Notamacropus eugenii: one gene and its partners. The protein of the gene in region 1 interacts with the protein of each later gene in a pairwise test. Links are inferred from orthologs where the notes say so. Each region holds a gene or a part of one and is shown in the gene's direction. Other genes may lie near its edges. The genes, in order: NUP62, KANSL1, SSC5D and C5H1orf216.

Region 1 (7,446 bases):
ATCTCAGTCCCCAAACGCTGGCTGGGAGGACCAGGAGGCGAGGTGGGTGTGAGGAGAATATTCAGAGGTCAAGTCACTGGCTGGGAAAATGCCCAGAAAAGGGAAAAGAAATAAGACTATTGAAGGCTACTTTCTTGGAGAACAGGCATTTCCTCCCTTCCTCTCTGATGAGGAAGAACAATGCTTACCATCAGGCAAAGACACAGAAATCAAGGCTTCTGTGTCCCAGCCCACCCAATGGGCTCAGGCCATGGAAGAGCTCAAAAAGAATTTTGAAAACCAAGTTAGAGAGGTGGAGGAAAAGCTGGGAAGAGAAATGAGAGACATGAAGTCAAAGCATGAACAGCAGATCAGCTCCCTGTTAAAGGAGACCCAAAAAAATGTTGAAGAAAATAACACCTTGAAAACTAGCCTAACTCAATTGGCAAAAGAGGTTCAAAAAGCCAATGAGGAGAAGAATGCTTTCAAAAGCAGAATTAGCCAAATGGAAAAGGAGATTCAAAAGCTCACTGAAGAAAATAGTTCTTTCAAAATTAGAATGGCACAGATGGAGGCTAATGACTTTATGAGAAAGCAAGATATCACAGAACAAAGAGAGAAGAATGGAAAAATGGAAGATAATGTGAAATATCTCATTGGAAAAACAACTGACCTGGAAAATAGATCCAGGAGAGACAATTTAAAAATTATGGGACTACCTGAAAGCCATGATCAAAAGAAGAGCCTAGACATCATCTTTCATGAAATTATCAAGGAAAACTTCCCTGAGATTCTAGAACCAGAGGGCAAAATAAATATTCAAGGAATCCACAGAACACCGCCTGAAAGAGATCCAAAAAGAGAAACTTCTAGGAACATTGTGGCCAAATTCCAGAGTTCCCAGGTCGAGGAGAAAATATTGCAAGCAGCTAGAAAGAAACAATTCAAGTATTGTGGAAATACAATCAGGATAACACAAGATCTAGCAGCCTCTACATTAAGGGATCGAAGGGCATGGAATAGGATATTCCAGAAGTCAAAGGAATTAGGACTAAAACCAAGAATCACCTACCCAGCAAAACTGAGTATAATACTTCAGGGGAAAAATTGGTCTTTCAATGAAATAGAGGATTTTCAAGCATTCTTGATGAAAAGACCAGAGCTGAAAAGAAAATTTGACTTTCAAACACAAGAATGAAGAGAACCATGAAAAGGTGAACAGCAAAGAGAAGTCATAAGGGACTTACTAAAGTTGAACTGTTTACATTCCTACATGGAAAGACAATATTTGTAACTCTTGAAACATTTCAGTATCTGGGTACTGGGTGGGATCACACACACACACACACATGCACACATACATAGAGACAGAGTGCACAGAGTGAATTGAAGAGGATGGGATCATATCTTAAAAAAAAATGAAATCAAGCAGTGAGAGAGAAATATATTGGGAGGAGAAAAGGAGGAATTGAATGGGGCAAATTATCTCTCATAAAAGAGGCAAGCAAAAGACTCATTAGTGGAGGGATAAAGAGGGGAGGTGAGAGAAAAACATGAAGTCTACTCTCATCACATTCCACTAAAGGAAAGAATAAAATGCACACTCATTTTGGTAGGAAAACCTATCTCACAATACAGGAAAGTGGGGGACAAGGGGACAAGCAGGGTGGGGGGGATGATAGAAGGGAGGGCATGGGGAGGAGAGTGCAATTCGAGGTTGACACTCATGGGGAGGGATAGGATCAAAAGAGAATAGAAGTAATGGGGGACAGGATAGGATGGAGGGCAATATAGTTAGTCCTATACAACACAACTATTATGGAAGTCATTTGCAAAACTACACAGATTTGGCCTATATTGAATTGCTTGCCTTCCAAAGGGAAGGGGTGGAGAGGGAGGGAGGTAAAGAAGTAGGAACTCAAAGTGTTAGGATCAACTGTCGAGTAATGTTCTTGCCATTAGGAAATAAGAAATACAGGTAAAGGGGTATAGAAAGCTATCTGGCCCTACAGGACAAAAGAGAAGACGGAGACAAGGGCAGAGAGGGATGATAGAAGAGAGAGCAGATTGGTCATAGAGGCAATTAGAATGCTTGGTGTTTGGGGGGGGGGGGATAAAAGGGGACAAAATTTGTAACCCAAAATTTTGTGAAAATGAATGTTAAAAGTTAAATAAATAAATTTAATTAAAAAAAAAAGGGATCCCCCCCAAGAAAGGATCCCAGATCCCTTTTAATCTGAATGATTAGGGCAGCTACAAGAGAAGCCCCTTGCTTTTGGTTCCTTGGGATTTATTCCTCTTGGCCAGCCCTAGAAATCAAGACAAATCAGCCCTAGAAATCAAGACAAATCAGCCCCTGCTAATGACTAATGACTTCTAGTGGGAGTTGTAGTCCATAGACTCTGTCAGTCAGGCTTACTCAGCCTATCCTTCAATTAATCATCCTCAGCTAGTATTATCCTGCTAGTCTTCTGTTTCTCCTACAAGAGCAATTCACAGGACACTCAAGAGCTAATGGCATAGGTCACCAGTGGACGGGCCCAGATCTGGTGTCATTTGTCTCAGGACAGTGCTGATGACAGTGAGCAGACACAATGGTCAGCTTTCACCCAAGTGGGCAAGATCAGTCCTCACCTTGGTGAAATTTTGGGCTCCCCAAAGCATGGAAATACTAGTGTACACATCAAGATATCCACTCCAACCACTAGCCAGTCCTGGGAAAGTCCAGAATTGTTTTTGCTTAAGTTAGCTAGTAGTCACAGGGCAGCCCCAGAGCAAATGAAAAGCATGAACGGTGTGGGGGCAGGCTGAGCAGGGCAGACAACTACTTCTTTACCCCAGAGGGTGATATTGCTGTGACCAGTTACTTTCATTCTCTTATACTTTTAGAGTTTTAAACATCACAATTGGGTGATGGGGTGGGAGAGTGTGAAAAAGGAGACTGGCCTGGCCTGTGTTTATTGTACATAGCACATAGTGGAGGTCCAAGACATGGCTTTTCAGGGCCTCTTCATTTTACATATGCATATATGTTTTGCATGACTACCCATATATAACCTATATGGACTTGCTTGCCTTCTCAAAGAGGAGGGCTGGGGAGGCAGGAAGGGAGAGAAATTGAAATTAAAGTTTTAAAAACAAATGTTAAAAAATTGCTGTTCACATGTAACTGGGGAAAAATTAGATACTAAAATACAAAAAAAAAATCAAACACCAAAGCTCATTATATATTAACTTATTTTATCCTTCCAACAACCTTGCAAGACTGTCACTATTATCCTCATTTTACAGAGGAGGAAACTGAGGCTGTAAAAAGTTAAGTGACTTGCCCAGGGTGGTACAGCTAATGAGTGTCAGAGGCTGAATTAGAATAACTCATCTTCCTAACTTTCAGTCTAGGACTCCAGTCACTGAGAAGTTATAGTAGCCTCAGATATTGTCTGAAGCCCTGGGTTCTGCCCAAGAAAGGGGGACTCTATCCCAAAGGGGTGACTGCTCCCCAGGGAGCTGCTTAAGACAACCTCGCTCTCTGCCCTGCCCCGCCCCACGGGTCCACTAGGACCACTTCAAACTTTACGCAGCCCCCAAATGGACAAGTGGAATCTCCCTTGCTTTGCCCCTCCCCCAGGAGGCTGAGGGGGACTGCTCAACATGCCCCGCCCCCATAGGTTAATTGGTACCGCCCCCCTCGTGGTCCCTCTACACAGGGCACCTCCATAATATCCCCTCACTAAATGGCTGTTTGGGACACCCCATCATGTCTCCCCACAGGATTAAATAGTACTGCCCCCCATCGTGCCCCGCTTCCACTAAGCTGCAGAGCTCTCCTCCGACATGCCCCGCCCCCACAAACTATTTGGACCGCCCCCATTCGGCCCCGCCCCCATGTTATCGATACCGCCCCTATTGTACCCTTTCCCCCGAGGGCTGTTGGGAGACCCCCTATTTTGTGCCTCCACAGGTTAAATGTTACTGCCCCCGTTATGTCCCGCCCCCACAAGGCTGCTGGGATGGCTCCCATTTTGTCCCCACACTGGAGTAAATGGTATCGCCCCCGTTATGTCCCGCCCCCAAAAGGCTGCTGGGACTGCTCCCATAGGTTATTGAGGACCCCCACCACCGTGTTCCGCTCCTATAGGATAATTAGGACCACCTCCATCGGCCCGTGCCCCCCCCCCGCTCCCGCAAGGTTATTGGGACCGCCTCCATTGCACCCCTTCTCTAAAGGGCAGTTGAGCTGTCCCTATTATGCCCCATCAGGGTGGAGACCGCTTCTACTTTCCCCTCCCCCACGAGATAGCTCGTTCCCGCCTCATTGTGACTCCGCCCCCCTAGAGGGTTGCTGGGACCGCCTTCCTCCCAGCCCCGCCCCAGAAAAATCTCCTCAGCATCTCAGCGCCACGGCACCTGGGCAAACGACGCCTCAAGATGTTCCGCTGGCCTTTCAAGGGCCCAAACACCCCTACATCCCCAATGTCAGGCCCCGGCGACTCACATCAGAGGGGGAACCCGTTCCGTAAGTACAGCGGTACCGGGTAACCTTCATCACATTTTTCACTAGCACAGAATCGGGAGGTGGGAGGGCAGGCTCACGCGGGCTCCCTTCCCCCCCTTTTTTTCTTTTCTTTTCTTTTTTTCTCTTTTCTTTTTCTTTTTTTTACCTCGATCTCGAGGGTTTTTGTGGCGACAGCCTCAGCCCAGCCGGCTAACTCGTCGTCGCCATGCCCCCTCAGCCCCCCCTCAGCCGTTTCTCAGACTGCCAGCCCGCGCCTAGCCCAAAGGCCCTGACCGTTACCACTTTTCGGACCGTAAGAAATAGGGGGACGGATCGCCATTACCTGCCACGTGCGGTCTGTGTGAATGTCTTCCTCAGCTTTTTTCTGGAGGTTCCCTCCTTTAAGTCGGTTAGTGAGACTCGGTGGAAATTCTAATTTGTCCTCAAGCAAAAAAGAAGTCCGAGAGCTCAGCTTCTTTCTGTTGTCATGGCAACTACTGGCCTCTTTTCTCCCTCGTACCCGCTAACTTTTTGCACCAATTAGAAGAGCCTACCCTCTAGAGCGATGCAAGAAGCAGCCCATAGGACGTCCGGACCAATGGGAAACCTTCCCCCCTCCACCCCTCCAGTTCGCTGCCTCTGCTACAGGCAGCACCGCTTCCCTCCTAACCGACGCAAGACGCTGGCACGCTGTTGCGCAGGCGCACCTGGTTTGAACTTCACTTCCGGGCCGGGAGCGGGAGCGGCAGCCATTGTGGTGAGTTCGTATCGGCTTGGGGTTCTTTTACCTTTACTTTTCTGTTATTTTCCAACGGGAGTTGACAGATTTCCTTTCCCTGTACCTGGGTACTTCTGCCCACGCCCGAAGGCTGCATTAACTGCAAACAAAGCATTCTGGTTGTGAGCCGAAAGGCCGGGCACAGGGACCTTAGCGGAGCACCTGGGGGCTGCTTTTGTCGCCACCCGGCTTCTCTTTCTCCACGTGTCTGAGTCTCCTTCCTCAGTACAAGGAGTGGCGGGGGTCCTGCTTAGGAGGCGCCCTCTCTGACCCCTTTTTGTATCTTTGGACGAAAAAGACCAGCTCGTGGAGATAAAGTGTAGCCCTGCAGCACGCTGTCACTAAAGCAAAGTCTCACGAGCCTAAAGTTCCAAGTTTCCCGCCTTTTTATACTTCACTATGGCAGCTCTGTCCTTTCGCCTCTGAAATATCTTTGCTTGTTCTGTGCTTTTGGTACTTGGGGACTATTTTCTGATAAATACATAGAGAAATAGCGTTGACTTTCATTTTCTTGCGTGTCTGCGATTTGCTGAGGTGATTTTTTTTGCATTGTGTTTGTCAGTGACTTATCAGTAATAGTTGCTATTTAGAGTTTGCCTAAGTTTCGCACTGGAGTTCCTTAACCCATGTGGCAATCAATATTTAATACCTTTTATGAGTGTATATAGTAAGATCAACATGTATATTTTATTTGTAGACCAGCTGAGTTTCTTTTCTGCTGCCCACGCTGCCTACTTTTTCTCGTGTTAAGTGCCTTCCTTAATGGGGAAAGGGAAAGTCATCAGCATTTAAGGTTTTACCTTAGTAGTCTGGTACAGTGCTAAGAAGCTGAACCTCTCCGGAGTAATTCAGCCTTCATCAACCATAATAAAAAGTTTGCTGGAGCAGGAGGCCATTGAAGCTATTGGGGAAAATAGAAATTTTTTTTTTCTCAAAATTTCTTCTATGAGCTATTATCATAGAGAGGAAGTTTGGCATAGTGGATAGAAAGCTGGCTTCGCAGCTAGGGAGACCTGAGTTGAAATTCTTCCTCTGACACTTACTGGATGTATGACCTAACTTCTCAGCCCTCGGAGCTCTCTTGCTCTTAAGTTCTATAGAGCCCTGGGAGTTCCCGGCTCAAAATTCTTATCATAATAATAGTAAAATGTCTAAAGTTCTAATACAGTAAATATTCATAGATATACCCCAGGTAAATAAAAGCTCTTTGGGTGAGTCTTCAATAATTTTTAAGAGTTGTAAAGAGGCCCTGAGACCCTTTCGTTTGAGATTCGCTTCTCCAAGCAGTTTCTCTAGGACTCTTTAAGTTACAAAGAATGTGCCCACCAGCCATTTGTAGAGGGAGTTTACTCACCGAGTTCCCCAGTAATAGTGAAATCACGGGTTACAACCCCATCCCTACCTATTACCTTGCATAATCTGCTCTTTGTTTCTGTAAATTGGTGAAGCTTGCAGAGAGTAATATATAAATAAAATCTGAATTAGCACTCCGCAACTCTTCTATTCTTCTGACTGACCAAAAATTATAGTACCTGGGCTAGTGAACTCACTATTTTGTGTAGTGCCATCCATCAGATGTGCGTCTCACACACTGAAGGATGATAACTCACATGTACATGGTACTTTAAGGTTTACAAAGCATTGTCCTTCCAATCCTATGAGGCTGTTGTTTATGGCTAACCCCACTTTACAGATGAGGAAGCTGACCATGGTCAGCTAGTAAGTGTGAGAACCATGTATTGGAACTTGGTTAATTTGACTCCTAGTCTTACACTCTTTCCACTATGCTTGCCTCTCATGATATTTGTGGATTCAAAATAACTGGATATGATTACATGATTGCCACTTTTTATCAGAAGACATAATATGTATTTCCCAGAAACAACCTGGCCAGTTTGCTCTGGTGAGACAGTCTTAAAGAAGAAAACAGGTGCCCCGCTCAAACCAAGCTACAGAACGGCACAGACCTTATTGAAAACACCCTGTGGATGCATTAGACTTACACAACTACATAAAATATGTTCCCTTTGGTGGTGTATCATTTGACATATAGCTGCAACTAACAGACCAGGTGTGAGTGGCCAAAAAGTATCTCTGATTTCAATGAACTTTGGTTCTAGATGCTATACCAGCTTGTCAGTTGTTGATTACTGTGTGACTGAGACCTGACATTGGTGCTGTTGCCTAGAGGATC
Region 2 (7,972 bases), on another chromosome or scaffold:
ATTGTTTCCTTTATGTTTTTAAACACCACATTTACCCTTAACTTTCTCCACCTTCACTGAACTCTCCTTGGGACAAAGAAAAACATTTAAACCTACTAACAGAGTAACAACATCTGATAACGTATAACTTGTTCCACATCCATTTTCCATACCTCTCTAGTGGGAGGAAGAAATCAGTTCTCTAGCACTAAAATTGCTTATCCTAATTTATCAGCTATTGACTGCTTTTTAGTGTTATTTACATTTTGAAGTCATTGTGACTGCTTAGTAATACTATTTTCTTTTACGTTATTGATATTCTTCTCCTAAGTTATGCTTATATTATTCTCCATCAATTAATGTCATCCCATATTTCTCTGAATTCCTAATATTCAATGTTTCTTATAGCACAATAATATTCCATTACATTCATAAGCTACAATTTATTTGGTCATTGCTCAATTGATTTATTTTGAAATTCTTGCTACCACAAAGAATGCTGAGATGACTATTTTGTTAAATATAGTAACTTTCTCTCATTGTTCTCCATGGCATATAATTGAATTCTAATTACATAAAATGTGAGAAGGAAACTATCATTGGGGTATGTTCTTGTCTTTATCATCAATATGCCATCATCAATAATGATAAAATAATATATAGCAATGAAAATAAATATAAATTAATAATAAATAGCAAATATAATATACCCACACTTTGAAGACCTCTAAATTCATCAGTGTGGGTATTCTCTCTGTTGAACAAACCCTTACTCATAAGCATCTAATCCAACTCATATACTAAAGACATCTCCATAGAAACATATCTGACAAGTGGTGTCATTCAGATGACATGAGATAACACACGTAAAGTGCCTTGCAAACTTTAAAGCTCTACGTAAATGCTAACTATTATCATTCTCTATCATCCACCCTCTACTTGAAGAGCCTTCCTCTCAAAGTAGACTATTTCATATTGGCACAGCTCTAATTGCTTGGAAATTTTTTCCAATATCAAGTCTAAATTGATCTTTTCTACCCATTACTACTGATTTTGCCTCTTGGGGGCTAAATAGAACAATTTAATCCCTTCCACGTAGTAGGGGATAGTTATCATGTCTCCCTCATATCTTTTCATTTTCAGACTAAACAATCTTTATCCTCATATGACAATGTAAGCAAAGACAAGGCAAAAATTCTCTGTATTTGGGAATCTCAGTCAACAAAAAATAATTGAAACAAATAACATCTATACAATATCAGATCATAACTTGCCTATAACTTAGTGGGGGGTCTTTTAGACTACTTGTGGTTGAAAATTTCATCACCTTACAATCAAGTTTGTGATCGTAAAATCATACAACATATAATGTCAGAAGTGGAAGAGACCTAGAGATCGTCTATTCCAAACCCTCTCCTTTCATATATGAGCAACTTTAGCTAGGCTTATTTGTCAACAATAGATATATAGTCTAAAATTGGGACCATACTTGAAACCCAATTCTATAGCTTGGTGTCATATTTTATACTTCACTGGTATCAACTCTTTAAGAACTGAGTCACCATGGTGCTATTTCTAGCTATCAGTCAAAAAGAATTTAAGTACTTGCTGTGTGCTAGGTGCTATGCTAAATGTGGGGGTGGGGGGAAGTGGAAGGGGGAAGTGAAGGATGCAAAGAAAGACAAAAAAAGGTCCCATTTATCAGGATTACATCTATGTCATCCGTCTAAAATCACCACCAGCCTCTGTTCCTCTGAATGGAAGGTGGAGCCATGAATTCTAAAACTTCTCCTTAATAGGAAGGATAACTCAGTACAACTCTTTTGGCATTTCTCTCCTGGCTGCAGGACTTTGGAGGGTCTCTGACTTTTCCACCATAACCCAGGAAGCTCATCAATGGGAAAACTTCATCATCTTGCAAGATCCCATCAGTCTGGCTTCTCTATCTCATCACCACCCATTGTCCCTTTGATTAGAGGGTGGAGCTATGAACTCCTTTTATAAGTTGTTTTCATCTTCTTTTGTATGTTGTATTTCTCATTAGATTGTAAGTTCCTTTTAAAATTTGTATCCCTAACCCTTGAACAGTGCATATGCTTAATAAATATTTATTGATTGACTGAAGTTTCTTCATAGGAGAGGCACTTGTGCAGTCCAGCAATGAGTATTTCCTCTCTGCTCAGCCAAAAATTTATCTCCAGTATTCCAAAAAAACCCCAGCATTTGTGTTCTGTAAAATGACTGGCTTAGAACAAATGATCTCTATTTCCTTCTAGCTCTAAATCCTGTTTCCCATAACTCTAAATTATAACAACCCACTTTGTTAATTATTTTTTAAATGAGACTTATTATAAATACCTTTTATTTTGTATCAGTCATTTTTGTATATGCCCTGACAAAATAAGTTACATTCTGTCCTTGTAGTCACCTGCCTCCCTAGTAAGGAGAAGAAGGCATATGTTATAATCTGTTTCTAATACCAAGAATGGTTATTTTTACTACAGAGTTTCGCATCCTTTTAATGTTTTTATTTACATTTTTGTCATTTTGTATATTGCTCTGCTCTGCTTATTTCATTCTGCATCATTGCATATAGATCTTTCCATTTTTCTTTGAATTCCTTATTTTCATCAATTTTCAAAAACTGTATAATACTATTCCATTACATACAAATTACATTTATGTGGTACTTTGAGATTTTCTATCAACATCTCATCAAGGTACACAGTACAAACATAATTATACTCACAGATGAGAAAGTGGAGGGTCATGATGATCCTTTGACTTGACCATAGCCATATTGCTAGTAAGTATTGGAGTTAGGAGTTCTTTACTTATCTTTTCCATTGACACTTGAAATTGAGTAGGTTAAAAAAAAAGCTTATACAATACCATGACCCTGAAAGGGCTGATCTAGTTCAACCCTTTAACATTGCATTTGAGGAAACAGAGTCACCAGATGTGTGACCTGACCAAGGTCACATGGAGATATCATAGGACTAGGACTGAACTCAGGTCTCCTATCTCCTACTTCAATTCTTTAGGTTCAGAGATGTCCCAAGAAGAAAGTTGCACAACTAATTTGTAGCAAACCAACACAAACCAAATCTCCTCCCTTCTAATTCAATTTTCTGTTTCTTTTACAACTTACTTTTCTGAGTTCCCTGTTTCTTTTCTTACTCCCAAGTCGACTTGGCTTCAATAACAATTCAACCAATATTCCCTGAAATATCAGGCACTGTAAAAATACACCATTTAGGTGTGTTCCCTACCCTAATGGAGCCTACTTTTTAGCAGGTGGATATGGTACATAGACAATTAACCATACTCAAATGGATTTGTACATCCATTTGGGAGTTCCTTCCAGTGATGCTGATCACAGCCTCAGCATGCTTATCTGCCCTGGGCAGCTCTTGTCTATCTGTTCCCAAAAGTTTGCCACAGGGGATCCTCCCAGGAAACAAATGAGGATGGAAAAGGTGGCAAGCATGTAAAAAGTATAATGTGCTATGTAAGGTTGGAGCGGGAATCCTAGGGATGGGGCAATAAGGAAAGGTCTCCTGGTGGAGGTATTTGAACTGAACTTTTAGCCATAGGTAAGATTTCTTTTGGGGGCAGTGAGAGGGCACTCCATGTATAGCGAGCATGAACATAGATGTGGAAGTTGTATTAGAGTTAACTAGTTTAGTTTGTCTGGAGCTTAGGGCATATGGAGTGGAGTAGTATAAGATAAAGCTTCAAAGGTAGGGGGTGGGTGTCAGATTGTGGAGACCCTCAGATACAAAGCTGAGGGTTTTGAATATTATTTCATAGTCAATAGGTGCCATTGGAGAGTTTGGGGTATAGAAATCCCCCCATACCAATGATTCATGTGTGGCGGTGGTATGAAGGATGGATTGGAGGGGGAGGAGGGAGAGAAGGAGGTGCAGGTGGTCATGAGGCCCGGTATTAGTAAGAGGCTGGTGGCAGTCTGAAGATTGAGATGGGAGATACTGCAGAGTCTCAGGGACTTGGCAGGGCGTGGGAGAGGAGGAGCACTTCCCAGTTTTCCTGTCAGTGCCAGTAGCCCCATCATCCTTCCACTTTCTCCTACCTCTCCTTCCTGTATCCTTGCATCTCTGTCTATATCATGTAGGTCTATATAGCCACATTTCTGCTACCTAGCCCTGCAGTGTCATCTCACCACGTCCACAGTGTCCACCCCCCCCTTCTCCTCTCCCCCTCCCCCCACTGATTTATGGCTGAATTGTTGCAACATCCTTTTATAAGGTCTCCCTGCTTTAGTTTCCATCATGTCGCTGCCCGGCTCTAGAACCAAGAGATGGGGGGGGGGGGGGGGGCGTTAGGGTGGGAGGGGGAGACGTGGTGCTGGGGAACGAAGAGGGGGCATGATCAGGGGACCAGACTGGGGATGCTTCTTGGAAGCCCTGCCAGGACCCCTCCATCTCCTTCTTCCCACCTCCGGGCCCCTCCCGGCCTCTCTGAGCAAACATTTCCCGAATGCACGGACAGAGACAGAGACAGAGACTCCGAGAGACAGAGAGAACCAGAGAACCCGGGCACCAGCATCACTCGCCCCCCCTTCCGCCACGCCCCGCCACCCTGACGGACGCTCGGGCGCAGCCAATGAAGCTCCGGCCCTGACCTCGGTAGGCCAATGAGAGACGGAGGAGGGCGGACAACTCCCCGCCCCCCACTTCTAGGCTAGGTTGAGCCGTGCAGGTAGGTCCGGGGCCGGGGGAGCCGCCGTTGGCGCTGGTGCCCGTGGCGGAGCGGGGGGTCTGGGGGCCCGCGAGATGAAGGGGCAGCCGTCGAGGGAGGGGAGGGGGGTCCGGGGAGCCGGGCGGGCGGGGGAAGCCGGGGGGTGGGCGGCCGCAGGGGCGCGGGCCTGGGAAGCGGGTTGGGCTGGGGGGGAGAGGGGACGCGTGTGTATGTGTGCGTGCGTGTGTGAGTGCGTGTGAGTGCGTGTTGCACACCCGCCGCCCCACTCCCCCTGCAGCCGCCCCCGAGCCCAGGCCCCCGCGGCCGCCGGCCCGGCCCCAGGGATGGCGGGGGGGAGCGGCGAAGGAGCCCTGGGCGCCAGGCCGAGCCCAGGCGAGCGCGGGGCCCGAAGCCGGGCTGCGGGGGGCCCGGAAAACCGAGGCCAACGGCCGTAGCCCCCTCCCCCCCGCCCAGGGCCTCCCGGGGTCCTCCCGCAACAATGGGCTTCGTAGTGGGGAGGAACCGACAGAGGGCTGGAAGAAGGTGGAGGTGAGGTGTGGGACCAGGGACCACCTGGAAGAGGGGAGGGGAGAGCAGGGCTGGAGTGGGCATGGCCCCCCCTCCCCCCCAGCCCCATCCCCAGGCCTCTGGATGGGGATGCTGATGGGGGAGGAGGAGGCCTGGACGCGAGCTGGCCCCCGACCCACCTCCTCCACTCAGTGCCATGAACTGTAAGGAAATGAGCCCAAGCCATGGGAAGTGATGCCAAGTTCAGGAGCTGGTGTGATGACGAAGGCATGGCCAGAAGAACTCTACCCCCACAGTCAATTTGTGTGTGTGGAAACCTTTAATTTTCTTATTTTTCCACATGAAGGAAAAAAATTTAAGTAGTGGGTGCTATTCTGTTTTGTTTTGAGGGGCTCACCAACTCCTGTAAGCTCTTAGCCTCCTATTGGAATTTCCCTTGGGCTCAGGGACCCCGGACTTGAGGGAACCTTGTGGTCATTTCATGCCACCAGGCAAAATCAAACCCATTGCAGACACTGGACTGACTACAGCTGGGTTTTGGAAAAGTATCTAGAAGAGTAATTACCTTTCACTTAAACATTCTCAGATTAGAAAAGATGTAGGTTTGTTTTGGAAATAGAATCGATCCTGGAACTTCATTTTTTATCAACTAAGTAAAGGGTACTGTTTAAAAGGATCAAAAGATGTTTATTGTTATTGAGGTACTAAGTCCCTTTCTAGTTAGTTTGGTGATTTTACTCAGACTGTTTAGAAATATTAAGGGCATATCTACAATTCAAAAATATAAACAGCCGATTTTTCAAATACTTGGAGTACATAGGGCCTAAGAGTATTGTGACTGTCTTTATACATAAAAACTCTGTTTCTAAATTATGAACTTTAAGTCCTCTACCAGATAATGAATTCTGATTCATCACTTGCCCCCTTCCCCTTCTCTCTGTATATGCTTGGGCTAGAAAGGAATTGTAGAGACCATTTAGCTAGCCCAGAGATTCTTAATCTATTTTTGTCATGGACCCATTTGGCAGTCTGTTACTCTTTCTTAGAATAATTTTTTAAAATATTAGTGATTTAGGGAAATGCTAAATTTCAGTTAGAGGTTAGTGAGAATAAAAACATTTTTTCCCCATCAGAGTTCATATATACTTCTCATATCTATCCATGTATGCCTTGGTGGTTTGTAGATCCCAGGTTAAAATTCCTGAGATAACCAACTCTCTTCAGTTGATAGATGAGAAAACAGGCCCAGGGAAGTTAAGTGACTTTATTGGCCAGGGTCACAAGTAGAAGTTTTAAAAAGTCAAAATTTGAATTCAGGATTTTCAAATTCTAAATCCAGAATTGTTTTCATCACATATATCCTCATTTGTACAAATATAAACATATATAATGTATATACATATGTACACAGGGGGCTTGCAGAGTATTAGTACTTTAACAAATTGATGAGATGAATGGCTGTTTGAGGAAATAAGAAATTTAACTGATTTAATTTTTAAAAATTATTGGGTTTGCAGATAATGTTGATTTGTATTTAATTTAAAAATCTTCTGTTTCAGCTATCCTTTTTGAAAAGTAAAGATTTTTACAAGTGCTGGTCCTCGTTAGATCCAGAGGAGTTACCAAGATTTTCTTTTTACTTCTTAATCTTGTGTGCATTATTCTGGACACTATGAATGCTACTTGGATGCCCGTTAAGGTAAAGGTCTTTTTTCTTAGTTTGTGTGCTTTTGGCATTTATGTTCTTTTGAATTAGAGAATGACCTAATACGTTTTAATCTTGGTATTTTCTGTTTGCTTATTAATATTAGGTAGTTCATTTTCTTCCTAGAAGAGAGCACCATTTATTGTTAGTTGCATTGTCCCTTGTCAAGGATGTTAAAAATATTTATTCAGTTTTGGAACCATTTTCCATTATTCTGTGTTCAGTTCTTTCATTTAAATCATAAGAAGCTACATAGTCAGGTTTTGCTTTTTAAATGTGGTAGAATGGATTAGAAAATTTAAAAATTAGTTCTACCTTTAAACTTAATGACCAAGTTGTTACATCATATGTACAAGTGTTCATACTACTGTTGAAAATCAGTAGCTTAGAGACCTCAAAAGAGTCATGGACCACTTGTTTTTTCAGTAATTTTCTACAGTATGTTAAAATTCTGTTGCCATTTTGGTCTTTGGAGAAATAACCTTGTTAGAGAGTTGAGTATGGCTTGGCTGAGGAATGGTCATTATGGATGTCCTTCTTCCTTTGTCCTTTACAAAAGCTTTCATGCCCCAACGCTGTACAGATGGAATCCTGTGCCAAGTCACATGTCATTGGTTTAACTCCATCCCAACAATGGAGATAAAAGTCTGGTGATAAAGCTGCCATCAGCGTGCCTGACCCTCACTTTGATATAAAGAAACAAACTGATATATGTATGCTGGCTCTCAGTAGGGAGGCTATCAATCTCTTTTTTTTCTCAATGCCTACCAGAAGGGCTAACTAAATAAGATCCATATGTGCCATTCAGTGATGTAAGGTACTTAAAATGGGGAATCAGTCAATTAACAATCATTTTTAAGTGCTTACTTTGTACCAGATGCTGGGCTAGGTGCCAGGGATAAAAAGATAAAAATGAAATGCACCCTGCCCTGCCCTCAAGAAGCCTACATGTGGTGAGCCAGCCATTTACATAGGTCAGTATCTACAGAATAAATTAAAAATGCACAAAATGTAGATTAGAGAGAGAAGGCACTAGCAGTTGTAGGGATCTGGAAAAGT
Region 3 (7,752 bases), on another chromosome or scaffold:
GCGGGGGATGTCCCAGGGGGATGGTGGTGCCCGTTTGGAAAAGGGATAAATTTGTGGGAAAAGTCATCAAGTAAGCATGCTTTTATTAAGCTGCTACATGTTGCCAGGCTTGTATACAAGGTATACAAGGAAAGAAAAACCCCATTCCCTGTCCTAAGAGCTCACCATTTGATGCAAACAAGGAGGTACCAACAGGAGACTGGAGGTAATCCCAGAGGGAAGGCCCAAGGTGGAGGATGATGGGGAAAGTCAGGCTTCAGCTGAGATGTGAAGGAAGCCAGGAAGCAGCCAGGAAGCGGGGAGAGAGCTCTAGGCCTGGGAGACAGCCAGTAACAATGACCAGAGAGGGGAGCTGGCCTGTCTGAAACACAATCACACAGAAGGGACAGGGATGGGCCTCTGTATGGTGTGGAGTTGAGTACTTGACAAATATTATCTCATTTGATCCTTATTAGGAATCAAAGATATTAGTCTTATTTTACAGGTGAGGAAACTGAGGCAAATAGGGCCTCCCAGCTAATGATTATCTGAAGCTGGATTTGAACGCAGGTCTTTCTGACTCCAAGCCCAGTGCCTTACCCAGCCACCTTTGCTGCCTCTACATAGAGAAGAACAAGGTGTAAGAAGCCTGGAAAGGTGGAGGTGGGGCTCTAAAAATTAAATAGCATTTTCCACTTGATGCTGAAAGCAATAGGGAGCCACTGGAGTTTATTAAGGAGGAGAGGTAACATGATGAGACCTGCACTTCAGGAAAATCCCTTTAGTGATGGAAGAGAGGATGGACTGTGGAGTTTAGGGAGAGACAGAGGCAGGCAGACCTCCCAGCAGCTGTTGCCACAGTCCAGGCATGAGGGGGTGAGGGCCTGCACCAGGGTGGGGCAGGGTCAGAGGAGAGAAGGGAGTGGATTGGGGAGATGCAGAGGAGGTGAAATGGACAGACCTTGGCCAGGACTTGGATATGGGGGTGATAAGTAGTACGGAATCCTAGATGTCACCTAGCTTTTAAGCCTGAGGGCCCGAGAGGATAATGATGTTCTCCACAGTAATAGGGAAGGTAGTAGGGGAAAGGCTGGGGAGAGAAGATGATGAGCTCTGTGGGGGCTTGTGGAGTAAAGATGTCTGACCTTTACAGTCGAGGTTTCTGTGAGGGGGTTGGAGATGGGAGCAGAGAGCTTCAGGCTGGATACATAGATCTGGAAATCCCAGGCATCTCTAGCTGGCCATTGAATCCATGGGAGCAGAAGAGATCCCCGAGTGAGGTCATAGAGCAGGAAAGATGAGTTATGCTTTAGACATGTCAGACTCGATGCCCATGGGATGGACAGAGTCAACCATCCAGGCCTGACAATCAGGAAAGACACTGAGGTTAGCCTGAGGACTCGGGGTCTCTGGTGTAGGGATGATTGTTGCACCCTTGGGAGCTGACGAGGAGGCCGAGAGAGCTAGGGAAAGGGGGGGCCCGGAGGGAGCCATGAGGTATGGAAGGCCATAGAGAGATCCTGGGATGGGACAGTTAATTTGGCAGAGGAGACTGAGCCGGGAGGAGAATGAAGAAAGCCGTTTCCTGCAGACCTAAGGAGGAAAAAGGAACCTCTCCTTCTCAGTCCCACTGGCCTGGACCTAGGCCTCTTTTCCCCCCAAAAGCTCTTCTCCTTAGCATTCCAGCTATCCCCTCCCCCCAGGGCCCCCAGTGTTTCCACCAGGCTGCTCACTGCTCCTTCCTCAGGTCTCTCCTCGGGGGCCCACCCCACCCCTTCTCAGGCTCCCTCCACAACCTCATCCACCTCTAGCTTCCCATTGGCCTTTCCCCACCTTTCTGCCTCCCTTGAGATACCTACCATGATCTCCGCCCCACCCCCCAAATTTGGCTCTTACCCAGCCCCACCCCCCAAGTTCACCAGGAACTCCCCATCACTATTTTTACATAACTTATTTTCAATGAACCAAAGGCAGATTTTTCTCTCCCTCCCACCTTGGCTTCCTACTATGGGTCCCTCCCAAAGCCCTCCCTTCCAGAAATCTCCCCAGGGCTTAGCCTGAAGTCTAGCACATAGTAAGTGCTTCATTAAAACCTGATGACTGGCTGATCTGCGCCCTGAATATTCCCACCAGCCCTGTCCCCAGCGGATCCTTCAGAGGGCATCCTCACCAGCCCTGGCCTGTGCCCCTTCCCAGTCTTCATTAGCCTTCTCCCATCAGCCCCTCCCCACCAGGATCCCCACCAGTGAGTGCCATCTCTCTCTGTACCCCTGACTTGTGCCCCTTTATCCTCAGGATGGGGTGAAAGACACAGAGAACCGCGTGGCCCTCCATGCCCTGACTCGGCCCCCTGCCCTTCTGCTCCTGGCCGCTGCCAGCAGTGGCCTCCGCTTTGTCCTGGCTTCCTTCGCCCTGGCCCTGCTTCTGCCCGTCGCCCTGGCTGTGGCTGCTCTCAAGCTGATGGTGCGGATGCGATGGGGTTCACTCCCCTCAGACTCTGGCCTAGGAGGCCCCTGGGTGGCAGTGTGGGGAACTGATGACGTGTGCGGGGTCCTGGCCCTGAGGCCCGGGACCAGTGGAAGCAGCCTGTCCGTAGCTCGCCTGGCCGTGGCCCGCTGGCACCGTCGACGTGGTGTGGCCACGAAGCTGCTGGCCTTCGCTGAGGCCCGAGCCCAGGCATGGGCCCGCCAGGCAGGGGGCCCTAGAGCAAAGCTCATAGTTCCTGCTCCAGTAGGAGCCCGAGGAGCCGCTGCCCTCCTGGAAGGAAGGGGCTACCATCCTGAGGGGGGCTGGGGCTGGATGGGACACATATTTGTGAGGGAGTTTACGAAAGAATTCTAATGCCCACTGTGTCCTCTCCGCAACCTGGCCTTGGCTCAGGGAGGATGGAGCCATCCGGGACACCTGTATGCTTTCAAGTCTCAGCTCTGGTTCTGGCCTAGTCCATGACCCTGGCCTAGTCCTTCCCTCTGGGTCTCCATCACCCCCTAAGGACTGGGGGAAAGGATACTTGCACTGCCCACCTCACAGGATTAAATGTGGGGGATCACCCTTGGCCCATCCTCTGGCTGCTCCTTTTTATACCAGTGACTCTCTGATGACCCCCCATATCTCCCCTGTCCACTGTGGGGGTCCTCAGGCAGTCAGCCTCCAACTGCCTTTGGGTAGCTCTGTCCTCCGACCCCAACTATTCTGTGGTTCTGTGCCCTGCCAAGATCTCCCAAGGTTCTCATCCCATTTCCTCCCAGAAGTTCCTTCTCAGACATCCCTCCCTCAGACTCACTGAAGGCCCCTGCAAACACAGGATCTCCTGCTCTCGCCCCCCTCAGTTAACCTTTAGCCTCACTGGACCCCTCTGAGCAAGACTTCCCTCTTCCCAGAGCACCCTGCCCAGGATCCTTTACCAAGCGCCATCAGTGATCTTCCCCTTTTCTGGGGACCGTCCCGTGGGGTTGGACTCCCTTCTCCATCAGTTGGCTACCAGGATGACTCCCCTCTGCTTTGAGGACCCACAGAGTGACCCCCTGGCTCCCCCACACCTTGAGATGACCCTTCGTCTCTGCCTTGGGTCTCTCTCTCCCCTCCCATTCCTCCTTTCCCCTCACATCTGTTTTTATCCCCATTGTTAATAAACTGAAACTCCCACCCACTGCCTGCCTCCCTTCTGCTGTGATGCCTTTTCCAGGTCCTCCAGCCCCCTTTTCCAGGCCTGTCTGGCCCTGGAGCCACATTAATATTCGGGGAGGGAGGGAGTTCTGAGCCACTGGTGCTCCAGGCCCCAGACCCCAGACCCAGGCCCCAGGCAGGCTGAGATGAGCTCAGGCTGCAGGGCCCATCCCCTGCCAACCTTGATGACTCACGCTCCCCATTAGCACATTTTTTCCACCCCACATCTGCCTGCTGAGCTTGGGGGCCAAGTATCTGCCCCCGCCCCACTCCCCTTCCTCCCCCTCCAGCCTGGGCCCCACCAAGCCACTCTCTCTCCCCGCCCCTTCGATCCTGGGGCTATCTCAGGGCAGCCTGGCCTTCCCCCGCCTTCGGACAGGGACCTGCAGCTTGGGTCTGGCCATTTACCCTCCAGCCCTGCAGTTCTTTCTTGTCTCAACAAGTGACTGTTGGTTGGAGGCTGAACCCTGTGGTTTGGACCATTATCTGGACATCAACTGACCCTCTCCCCTAGTGGCATGGATGGTGGGGTAGGGCAGAGCAGAGGGGCTGCTGTGGTAAACAGTGAGGGTGGGACAGGAGCAGAGACCTGGAGAGATAGGCAGGAGTGGGAGACACCCAGAGGGAAGGACCCGAGGGAAGAGGGAGGTCCACTGAGGCAGAGCTCCAGGGCCAGAGGCTGCTCCAGCCCCTTTTGGCAGGTCTCCCGGCCCAGCGCCCGAAGTGTCTGGGGCCAGCCAATCCCCCCCCCCCCATTCCCCCACGCCTCCTCAGCCCCCTCCTGGTCCCCCGCTGCCTCCTCCACTGTTCTCTTCCCTTCCTGGTGCCGGCGTGTCCCCAGCCCCCGCCCGCCTGCCCGCCCCTCCTCAGTCCAGGGCGCTGCCGGCACTTCCCCTCAGCTTTTACTGCCTCCGCCTCCTCGACCTCGTCTGCTCCCCCCCGTCCCCCAGCCCCCCCAGCCTGGGTCCTAGGGGCTGGCTCTGCAGAGATGAGGGTCTTGGCCTACCTCCTTGGTGAGTGACCGCAGAGACCCAGAGGTCCCTGCTCCCAACCCCTGCCTCCTACTGACCCTAGCTCCTTCTGGGCATCTGGGAGTCCTTACTTCTCCCATTCAGGGACCCAGAGGTCCTGACCCCCAGCCCCTGCCTCCTAGACATCTGGAAGTCCTCGCTTCTCCCCTTCAGAGACCCAAGAGTCCTGGTCCCCAGCCCCTGCCTCCTGGACATCTGGGAGTCCTTGCTTCTCCCCTTCAGGGACCCAGGAGTCCCAGCCCCCAGCATACACTTTGCTCTTCTGGCTACTCTCCACAATCCTAAACATTTAGTTTTCATTACTTTCAAAAGGATCCAGCAGTCTGCCACCCTCCTCCAAGAGAGGTCCAGATGGCATCTTGTCCCCCATTGTCTTCTAAGATCCAGAAATAGGGTTCCCTGTTCCCTATTCCCTTCTCAAGAGCCCAGTCAGCTGCAGCCTCCACCGTCACTGACCTTTGTTCCCTGTGGTGTCCAGGTCTCATCCCCATCAAGGGTCCAAACATCTAGGCTCTCCTGGAAGCCAGGTTGAAGGTCCCTTCCTCTTTCTGAACTGTTCTCCCAGGGACTGGGGCTCCATTTCCTCAGGTCCTTCCCACTGGGTTCAGAGATCCAGGCATCCCCATTCAGAAACCTGGAATCCAGACCCTCTCCCCACTGCTTTGTGAATGCTCGACCCTGTCAAGGCCCTACACAGCTTCATACCTAACCCAGATCCCTGAGTGTCTCCTCTGAGGCGGTGACAGGGGCAAGGACTCCCCACCTTCACCTTATCGCCCTCATCTCTCTTCCAGCTGTTCTGATGGGGATTCAGGCTGTGGGTGAGTCTTTTCTGAGTCCCCTTCTCCTCCTTCCCTGTCATGCCCTTTGTCACCACCCAACTCCACCTCTGGGCTTTAGCTTTGGAGCTCACTGGATTCTCCCCTTCCCTCACTGGTTGTCTTGGGGATACAGGCATCAAGGATACTGTGGGCTAGACCACAGGGCTCCAAACATTAGGCTCTTCATTCTTTGTTCATGGGAACCCAGCCTTCCCCCTCCCCAGTACACAGCCACTCCCTCAGAAGCCCCGAGTCTCTACCCTGCCCATCATAAACCTAGGAGTGTGGGATCCCTGGGCCCCCTCCCCAACAGGGACCCAAGTGTCCAGCCACCCAGCAAACGTGTGCTTCTCCAGCCCTACTCATCCCAGGGACTCAGACCCTCTCAGCACCCCAGGACCTCCAACCCATTCTTTGGACAGGGACTCAGGCATCCAGCTTCCTAGCCCGGCTCAGTTCTCTAACCTTGAACTCAAACCCTCAGTGACTCAGCCTTTGGGTCTCCCAGGCCCTGCTCCCCTCACTGACCTAGCTTTTCTCAGGATCTCAGGTGTCTGCTCTCTAAACCTCAACTCTCCTCAGGCATCCATGGGGACTGGCATGCCAGCCCCTGGTTCCTTAGGGATAAAGATTTCCAGGACTCCTATCTGCCTCTTCAGCAGCTCAAGTATTTAGTGCCCCCAGGCCCCCTCAAAAGCCTAGGGATACTGCTGGGCTAGATGAGGGTCCCTCCTCACTGGACCCCCCTCGGCAGAGCGGCTTCGCCTGGCTGGGGGCCCCCATGGCTGTGCCGGGCGGCTGGAGGTGCGCCACGGGGGGCGCTGGGGAACGGTGTGTGACGACGGCTGGGACCTGCGGGATGCTGCTGTGGCCTGCAGGGAGCTGGGCTGTGGAGGAGCCCTGGCCGCCCCAGCAGGAGCTTTCTTTGGAGAGGGGATCGGGCCAGTCTGGCTGAGTGAGCTGGCTTGTCGTGGGTCTGAGAGCCGGCTGGGCCTCTGTCGTCACCGAGGCTGGAAGGCCCACATCTGCTCCCACGAGGAGGACGCTGGCCTCGTCTGTGTAGGTAAGAGCTCCAGTCCCCGGCCCTCCAGGGTCCTGCTCTTTCCTAATCCTCACCCTCTCCAAGATGGAAGTATCCAAGAACTCTGGCATGGGACCCCAAAGTACCTAACACTATGTTTTAGGAAGCCTGGCACTGGAACTCCCAGGGCCCTCCCCACTAAACACCACTAAGCTCTTCCAAATCTGCCCACTCCCTACAGGTCAGCGGGCAACCAACTCAAGGTCGGATTCAACAGAGCCCCTGGACCGGGAGCTGTGGTCTGAGAGCTCCCCAACATCCCCAGGTGAGGCCCCAAGATCTCCCCCTGCAGAATCTGCAGAGCCTGACGCTTACATCTCCCCTCCCCTTCCCTCATTCACCCTTCCCCTAGCTGGGAACCCGACAAGCAGCCCCCAGAAGGCCCCTCGGCCTCCCAAGCTGCCCAAGGCCACCCGGGCCCCTCTGCTGACTTCCAGTGCTTTCCGACAGGGTGAGTGACCACCCCCACATGTCCCTCTAAGATAGAGCCAACTCCCCTCACCCCCCTCCACCTTTTCATTTCCAGTTTAGTTCCCCCCCAAGTCCGCAGCCAAAACTACATCTGGGTACTATTAGGAATGTTCATGAGGTCAGTGGGGGGATACCTTTACTTCTTATCTCCCTTCATTCTGCCTGCCCCAACTCCCTGGGGCCTACGCGTCCAAATCCCCTTGCCCCTCCCCCCAGGACCCACATGTCCAACTCCCTAGCCCCTCCCCCGCCCCCAGGACCCACATGTCCATCTCTCTGGTTCCTGCCTCATTTGATGTCAGCTGATTCTGTACCCACTGTACAGCCCCCAAAAGGCTACCTACATGACCTGCTATTTTCATGGTCACCCCCACCCCACTCAGAGACTCAGGTATCCAGGCACCTGTTCCTTGCCCACCCTCTGCCTGTCTTAGGGATCTGGAGATCTGCCTCCTCATTCCCTACTGTCCTCAGGGACTCAGGTGTCCTCTGCATAGTCAGGTGAAGCCCTCTGGCCCTTGACACCCAGGAGTGGAGCTCCCCAGAACATATGGCCCACCCAGGCTTACCAGCCCCCAGCTTCCATTCTCCTCAGGGATCCAAGCCTCTGCCTCTTGGCCCCCAATCCCTCAGGGACCCAGGCACCTGGAGGGCTTAGATGAAGGCCTGGCTCACTGAGTCCCTCCTCTGCAGAGTATCTGCG
Region 4 (8,075 bases), on another chromosome or scaffold:
ACTATGCCTAAGGGGTTACAAAAATGTGCATACCCTTTGACCCAGCAATACCACTTCTAGGACTGTATCCCCAAGAGATCATAAAAATGGGAAAGGGTCCCAACATGTACAAAAATATTTATAGCAGCTCTCTTTGTGGTGACCAAAAACTGGAAATTAAGGGGATGCTCATCAATTGGGGAATGACTGAATAAATTATGGTATATGAATGCAGTGGAATACTATTGTGCTATAAGAAATGATGAACAGGAAGACTTCAGAGAGGTCTGAAAAGACTTATATGAACTGATGTTGAGTGAAAGGAGCAGAACCAGGAGAACTTTGTACACAGCAACAACCACAGTGTGTGAGGAATTTTTCTGGTAGACTTAGTACTTCACTAAAATGTGAGGACTTAAATAATTCCCAATGGTCTCTTAAAGCAAAGTGCCTTCCACATCCATAGAAAGAACTATGGAATTCAATTGCAGAATGAAGCAGATCATTTTCTTTTGTATTATGTTTTGCTTTGTTTTATGATTTCTCCCATTCATTTTAATTCTTCCATGCAACATGACTAAGGTGAAAATGTATTTAATAGGAATGTATTGTAGAACTTATATAAAACTGTATGCTGTCTCAAGGAGGGACTGCGGAGGTAGAGGGAAATGGAGGGAGGAAGGGGAAAAAAATCCAAGATATATGGAAGTGATGAAAACAAATAAAATAATAATAATAATAAATTTATACATATATAATAAAGTTATCATTTGAATTTCTTTTCTCCTCTCCCTCATCCAAGATATGGCTACCATTAGACATAAACATGTATGTGTCTATGTGTGTGTGAGTGTGTAAAAACATTCTATACATATTTCTATTTATCAGTTCTTTCTCTGGATGCAGATAGTGTTTTCCCTCAAATGTCCCTTGTAGTTACTTTGGGTATTAATAGTCAAAATGACTTATTCACTCAAAGTTGTTCTTAAAATAATATTGTTGTAACCGTATACACCATTCTTTTGATTCTACTTATTTCACTCTTCATTATTTCATGCAAGTCTATCCATGTTTTTCTAAGATTATTGAAGTTATTATTTCTTATAGAACAGTAATATTCCATCACCATCATATATCACAACTTGTTCAGCAATTCCCCAGTTGATGGGCATCCCCACAATATCCGGGTCTTAGCCACCACAAAGAGTTGCTATAAATATTTTAGAACATACAGGTTCTTCTTCTTTTCCCCTAATCATCTTTGGAAACAGACCATTTAATAGTAGCATTGCTGGGTCAAAGATTATGCCGTTTTATCTCTTTAGGCATAATTCCAGATTGCTCTCCAAAATGGTTGGATCAGTTCACAATTCTACCACAAGTTTGGTAGAGGAGAGAATTTAGGAGGAAATACGAATTCGTTTTTGCACATGCTGAGTCTGAGATACCCCAAGAATATTCATTTCTACATGTCCAATGGGCAGTTGATGACGAAAGGCTGAAATTCAAGAAAGAGGCTTGGGCTGGGTATATTGATCTTGGATTCATGAACAAAGACATGATCATTGAACCCATGGGCACTGATGACATCTCCAAAAAAAGAATATAAAGAAGAGGACTGGGAACAGAACCTTGAGGTCCACCCATACTTAAAGGGCTGTGATATAGATGTCATGCCAGCAAAGGAGACTGAGGACAGATCACACTAGTAGGAGGAGAACCAGAAAAGAGCAATAGCATGAAAACTCAGAAAGTAACCTAGAGAATGAGTGGTTGACAGTGTAAAATGTAGATAGGTTAAGGAGGAGGAATAATGAGAAGATATCATTAGATTTGGTCATTAAGAAGTGGTCATAGGGCAGGTAGGCAACTCAGTGTATCCTGGCCCTGAAGTCAGGAGGACCTGAGTTCAAATTCAGCTTCCGATACTTACTAGCTGTGTGACTGTGGGCAAGTCATTAAACCCTGATTGTCTCACCAAAAAGAGAAGGAAGAGGAGGAGGAAGATGAGGAGGAGGAGGAGGAGGAAGATGAGGAGGAGGAGGAGGAGGAGTGGAGGAGAAGAAGAAGAAATTACTTTGTAGAAATAGATTTCAATTGAATGATGAGGTTTGCAGAGGCTTTGGGGGAAAAAAATGTGTGTTCGTCCTTCACTCTCAAAGAGGACCATGACATCAAGATAATGATATGATTTGCAGTTGACTTTGATTTGAGTGAGGGAGGGCTGTGCAAGGTCACCAACCTCACTTTCTTCTCCCATGCCATCTGGATCCAGTTACCTGATATTCATCAGGACAGTTGGAGATGATCCAGGATGCAATGGGAGACCCTGGCCCTTTCAGACTAAGGTCTTATAGCATTCTCACTTTGAGTGAGATACACTCATTCAATGAATAGACTTCTTTAAGCACATGTTCAAGGGATGGCCCCTTTAATTAAAAAAAAAAATCAAACTGGGAGGAGAAGACCCTCAGGGTTCCTGGGTAAAAGAGCAACAATTGGTTGTTCTCTGTTGCTTTCGAAGAGGACCAAAATGACATCACCATGATAAAGTGAAGTTTCAGTGTGTCTGCCTGTGGCTGATCAGACCAATATGAGCTCAGAATGTTCTGCTCCAGATTGAATATAGATAGTCCATGTGAGTATTTGGGATGGATACTCCAAATTTGTGCATCCTATGTTTACTTTGTGCTATCTCAATTCTGCTTTGCTCATACATCACAGCACCCTTTCTGATGTGGGCACATCATGCTGAGCAGTCCCGTGTCAGTGTCTCCCATGTCGCACAATCAAGTCCAAAGTTATTGAGAGAGACCTTGAGAGTGTCCTTGCATCTCTTCTTCTGACCACCATGTGATCACTTGCCCCATGTGAGTTCTCCATAAACTAGCCTTTTTTGGCAAGCATACATTTTGCATTTGAACGACGTGGCCAGACCATCGGAGTTGTGTTCTCTGAAGCATAGTCTGAATGCTTGGCAGTTCAGCTCGAGCATGGATTTCAGTGTTGATTGATTCTGAAAAGTAATATGGAATTATGTTCAAAACATCATTGAACTGTGCATAGCCTTTGACCCAACTATACTCCTCCTCAGAAAGAGGAAAAGGACTCATACATACAGAACTATTTATAGAAGCTCTTTTTTTGTAGTGGCAAAGAATTAGAAACTAAGTGGGTGCTCGTCATTTAGGGAATGGAAAAACAAATTATGGTATCTGGATGCAATGGAATATTATTTTGCAAGAAATAAAGAAAGAGGATTTCGGAGAAACCTGGGAAGACTTGTATGAACTGGTGCAGAAATAGGAGAACAATGTCTATAATTTAAAAATTGTAAAAACAATTAGCTTTGAAAGTCTTAAGAATTCTGAGAAACTCAATGACCACTTACAATTCCAAAGGACTTATTATGAATCAAGCTACCCAACTCCTGGGAGACGATGGACTCAAGATGCAGAATGAGACATGTGTTTTTGGACACGGCCAATGCAGGAATTTGTTTTGCTTCATTATCGGTATTTGTTACAAGGGTTTTCTTTTTCTTTAAGGGTGGGGAGGGAGAAGGCAGAAGGGAGAGAGAATAAATATTTACTAATTGAAAAGAAGTAAAATAAAAATTAACATAAAAAGTAGAATGAAAGGAGAACGGTAGTTCCATGTATATGCATTATTTTCGAAGAGTTTAAAGATTAAAGATATAGAGATTAAAGATACAGGACAATAGTTTCAGGGATGGTGGGGTTGTCGTTTTTTAAGGATGGGGGAGGATTTGAATGTTTGTAGGAAATAGGAAAGGAACTAGGACATAGGAAGAGATCAATCATGAAAGAGAAGGGATGATAGTAGAGGCAATGTGAAGGAAAAAAATGGGAGAGATGGGATGGAATCAAGAGGTTACAGAGGGGTTAGCCTTGGCAATGGGGAGGACTATTTCAGTGAATGGACTAAAGGAGATAGTAAAGGATGAAAATATGGGATGAAAAGAGAAAGAAAAGAGAGCTCTAAGTAATGGCCTCAATTTTTTCAGGTAAGGTACGAGGTAAGGCGCTCTGCTGAGAAGATGGGAGGAGAGGGTACTATGTGACATAAGGAGAAAAGAGAAGGTATGGAACAACTTCCATGGTAAATTGACAAAAAATAAATTAGAGAGAATGAGAACCTGCACAAGAACATTTACATACCTACTTACATGGAGTACATGTACAGGCATACCTACACATGTAAGCTTGTTCCTGGACATATCTGCAAATGAGTACACAGACATGAGTACATGTTAAGTGTACTTGCCTGAATTGCCAGCATACATCATTCTGTCATTTCCACTGTAAAGGTCATAGCGTTTCTAGAAGTGGAAGGGTGCTTACAGATCATCTGCTCCGCACAGAAGCTTTCAGTATTATGCTCCTAAAACACAGAAAAGAATTTATTCATGGGTCTGTACATAGGAGTATACAGATATGTGTGTGTGTGTGTGTGTGTGTGTGTGTGTGAACCTCTCCTTGCTTGGCAAAAAAAAAAGGATTTTTTGCTGTCTGTATCCTTCTCCCAAGAATCTTTCCTTTGTGGGAGGATGGCTTTACTTCCCCTCTCATGTCCCCTACCTCTCCCAGCAAGTGTGTTCTGTGCGTATGTTTGTGTCTTAGTGTGCCTGAATTTGTGCGTGCCTGTCTTGCCCAAATCTGTGCCTGCGTGTGCCTGAGTGTGTGCCTCTGAGTGTGCCTGTATGTATTCCCGAGTGTGTGTCTCTGCGTTTTCCTGTGTGTCTGGGAGTGTGTGTGTGTGTGTGTGTGTGTGTGTGTGTGTGTGTGTGTGTGCAGCCTCCGCTGCAGCCGGGGCTCCGCCCCTCCCTTTTCCGCACTCCTTGCCAGGCCAGTGACTCAGTGACGCTTTCCTGCGGCTGGAGCCGGAGAGGAGCTGAAGCCCGAGTCGGGTGGGCCTGGGCACCTCTGGGCTGTGAGTCTGGGCTGTGGGCAGGGTGGTCGTTTTGTTTTGAGGGGAGAAACTCCGGGGGCTGGGGCTCTATAAAGGGCGCGGGGGGGACACCGCAGTGGCCCATGTTAGGGGAGAGACTCATCTCTGGCCTCCCAGGGCTGTGGGTGGGGAGTGGGGGTGGGGGGGTGGGTAAGGGTGAAGAGGAAGGAGGAGCGTCTCCTGCAGCATCCCCCACCCCCGCCAGAGCAGTGGCTGGGAATGGGGAGTGGAGGCGGGGCTTGCGGGAGGCCCATGGGGAAGAAGAGGGGAACAGGAAAATGAGGATGGGGTTAAGGATGCTCCGGCTTTGCCTGTACTCCACAAGGATGGGGTGTATGTGAGGGCGCTGACTGACCCTAGAGCCCTGCTCTCCTCACAATTCTCTCCCCTCCCTACCAGCCTCAGGATCCTCCACCACTCTGGGCCTGGCTTCTGCGCAAGGTCTTGGAGGTGGACCTGTGTGCCAGAGACCCTCTGGGGGCAGGGCCTAAGGAATTGCCAGTCCTGCCAGGCTAGTTTTTGTCCTTAGTGAATACCAAATGACTGATTAGCACTCATTTCCATATCTCTCATCAGTTGAACCTGCACACAGGTACCATACATACATATTACACATGCTTTACGCTGTACATACATGGGCACACAGCTACACTACCCAGGTACATACAGAAAAATGTATGTATACATATAATATGCAACACACACATGTACACAACCTGCATGCATGGGCATGCATAAACCACATATACGCGACGTACATATACATATACGCAACCCCAAATGCATACTGTACATACATATACATATATACAGCCCCAAATGCATACTGTACGTACATATACATATACGCAGCCCCAAATGCATACTGTACGTACATATACATATATGCAGCCCCAAATGCATACTGTACGTACATATACATATACGCAGCCCCAAATGCATACTGTACGTACATATACCTCATAGCCACCATACCTGGTGATTTGAAGACCATTAAAACACAGCTCCATAAACAATATTTTATCCCATCCTCCCTCCCTACACCTTGTGATGACCATTCGCCTTTCTTTATCCTTCCCCCTGTCGTCCTCTGATCACTGCCCCCGCCTTGTTAGGCTGCCTGGCAGGATAATTTCTTATCTTCTGTAAGCCTTGGTTTGCCAATACACAAAATGTATATAGTTGATGATGACACCTTCTCTGTGAGTTCAAGCCTACACTTGGACAAATACATTTGTTCTAATCTCTGCCCATTGAAAGTATTCACAGGGAGGGTAATGGCTGATCAGAGCAGAGGAGAGAGAGGACAGACAGAGCTAGGTATAATGGGCACCATAGCAACAGAAGACAGGGATAGAAAGGACCTCCTAATGTGGAAGCCAGGAGGAGTCAACTCAGCTATTCAGGGCCTTTCTGCTCAATACCTCAGTGTCCCAATCTATCTGATAATCAGTCAATCTGTCAATCAACTAACAAGTATTTATTAAGCACATATTATGTGCTAGGCATTGTGCCAAACTCTGGAAATGCAAATACAAAAATGAGATAGGTTTTGGCATCAAAGGCTTTGAGGGTAGGAGGTGGGAGCAGAGAAGAGGGACTCATGCACACCAATAAGAAGAAATATTTGTCAAAAATGCACACCAATAAGTCAAGATATAAAAATGTGTACTGATAAGTAAATCAAGGATACATAGTATACAAAATATATTCATCAAGAAGAAAATATAGAATGCATTATTAAAAAGGACACAGGGTTGGGGGAGGAGTAGAAACTGGAGGTATCCAGAAATGCCTTCTAAACAAGGTAGCTCTTGAATTGAACCTTGAAGGGATCTGGGAATTTCAAGAAGCAGCAGTGAGGAACAAGAGCATTCCAGGACTGAGAGACAGCTTGTGCAAAGATATGGGGACAGGAGAGGAAATGTGTTCAGGGAAAAGCAAGTATTCTACTGGAACTTAGAGTGAATGAAGAAGAAGAATGTGCAATAGGTCTGGAAAGATCAGTCAGAGCCAGATTGTGAAGAATTTGAGAAACAAAGGAATTTGTATTTTATCCTAGAGGAAGATGGGAGACACTGCAAATTCTTGAACAGGAGAGTGATGAGCAGTCCTGTACTAAAGGAATATCATTTTGGCAGTTGTGAACATACAGTCATAGAATCACAAAATCAGAAGGTTGGTAGGGAATGCCTGTAGCCAGATAGTCCAACCCATACACAAAAGGAATTCGCCATTTAACTTATGGGCCAAATGATCTCTGGGAAGTGTCTGAAGACCTTCAAAGAGAGAGGAACTACCCCTCCCTCAGGCAGGCAGCTTTTCTACTTCTGGACAACTCCATTTTCCTCCCTTTCTTCTGTCCTTCCTTCCCTTCTTCCCTCCCTCCCTCTCCTTCTCCTTCTCCTCCTCCTCTTCTTTCTTTTCTTCTCATTCTCCTTCTTCTCCTTCTCCTCCTCTTCCTTCTCCTCCTCCTCCTCTTCTTCTTCTCCTCCTCCTCTTCTTCTTCTTCTCCTCCTCCTCCTCCCCCTCCCCCTTCACATTTTAAGTTCCAAATTATCTTCCTCCGCATCCTGCACTAGAGAATGCCACCATTTGACACAGATTTCCATACTATGCTTCCCTCTGTTTATCAGTTCTTTCACTGGAGGTGGATGCCATCTTTTTTCATAGATCCTTTATAGCTAATCTGAGTATTTATAGTACTCAGTAACTTAATTGTTCACAATTATTCTTCAAGCAATATTGCTGTTACCGTATATAATCTCTTGGTTCTGTGCACTTCATTATTTCATATAAGTCTTTCCATGTTTTTTTTTTTCTAAAATCAACCAGCTCACCATTTCTTTTTTTAAATATATGTATCTTATTCCCCCAATTATATGTTAAATAATTTTAAACATTTTTCTAAAGTTTTAAGTTCCAAATTCTATCCCTTCCTCCCTCCCTTCCCTGTTCCTTGAGATGGTAAGCAATCAGATATAGGTTATACATATGCAATTATGTAAAACATTTCCATGTTAGTCATTTTGTACAAGAAGCCTAGAATAAAAAGAAAAAAAAGAAAGAAAGTGAAAAATAGTATGCTTCAGTCTGTATTCAAACAATATCAGTTCTTTCTCTGG

Evidence for each region.
Region 2: the proteins of NUP62 (region 1) and KANSL1 interact in binary tests that used the Homo sapiens proteins (3 or more experiments, as listed by UniProt). The two-hybrid records come from large-scale screens. The link is inferred for Notamacropus eugenii from reciprocal best matches to the Homo sapiens genes NUP62 and KANSL1.
Region 3: the proteins of NUP62 (region 1) and SSC5D interact in binary tests that used the Homo sapiens proteins (3 or more experiments, as listed by UniProt). The two-hybrid records come from large-scale screens. The link is inferred for Notamacropus eugenii from reciprocal best matches to the Homo sapiens genes NUP62 and SSC5D.
Region 4: the proteins of NUP62 (region 1) and C5H1orf216 interact in binary tests that used the Homo sapiens proteins (3 or more experiments, as listed by UniProt). The two-hybrid records come from large-scale screens. The link is inferred for Notamacropus eugenii from reciprocal best matches to the Homo sapiens genes NUP62 and C1orf216.

What each region holds. Positions count from the first base shown.
Region 1 is NC_092879.1:31,951,465-31,958,910, forward strand, and holds the start of NUP62 (nuclear pore glycoprotein p62), read left to right. Parts: upstream 1-4,293; 5' UTR 4,294-4,407; coding exon 4,408-4,495; intron 4,496-4,817; exon of another isoform or gene 4,818-4,953; intron 4,954-5,039; coding exon of another isoform or gene 5,040-5,103; coding exon 5,104-5,235; intron 5,236-7,446. UniProt on the Homo sapiens protein: Essential component of the nuclear pore complex. The N-terminal is probably involved in nucleocytoplasmic transport.
Region 2 is NC_092873.1:346,575,829-346,583,800, forward strand, and holds the start of KANSL1 (KAT8 regulatory NSL complex subunit 1), read left to right. Parts: upstream 1-4,677; 5' UTR 4,678-4,701; intron 4,702-4,866; exon of another isoform or gene 4,867-5,229; intron 5,230-5,278; exon of another isoform or gene 5,279-5,513; intron 5,514-6,767; 5' UTR 6,768-6,907; intron 6,908-7,972. UniProt on the Homo sapiens protein: Non-catalytic component of the NSL histone acetyltransferase complex, a multiprotein complex that mediates histone H4 acetylation at 'Lys-5'- and 'Lys-8' (H4K5ac and H4K8ac) at transcription start sites and promotes transcription initiation.
Region 3 is NC_092876.1:18,059,852-18,067,603, forward strand, and holds the start of SSC5D (soluble scavenger receptor cysteine-rich domain-containing protein SSC5D), read left to right. Parts: upstream 1-4,410; 5' UTR 4,411-4,633; coding exon 4,634-4,658; intron 4,659-5,390; exon of another isoform or gene 5,391-5,470; coding exon 5,471-5,497; intron 5,498-6,251; coding exon 6,252-6,560; intron 6,561-6,759; coding exon 6,760-7,029; intron 7,030-7,742; coding exon 7,743-7,752. Other genes in the region: NAT14 (probable N-acetyltransferase 14), read left to right, coding at 2,275-2,516.
Region 4 is NC_092876.1:83,994,148-84,002,222, reverse strand, and holds the start of C5H1orf216 (UPF0500 protein C1orf216 homolog), read left to right. Parts: upstream 1-4,824; 5' UTR 4,825-4,932; intron 4,933-8,075.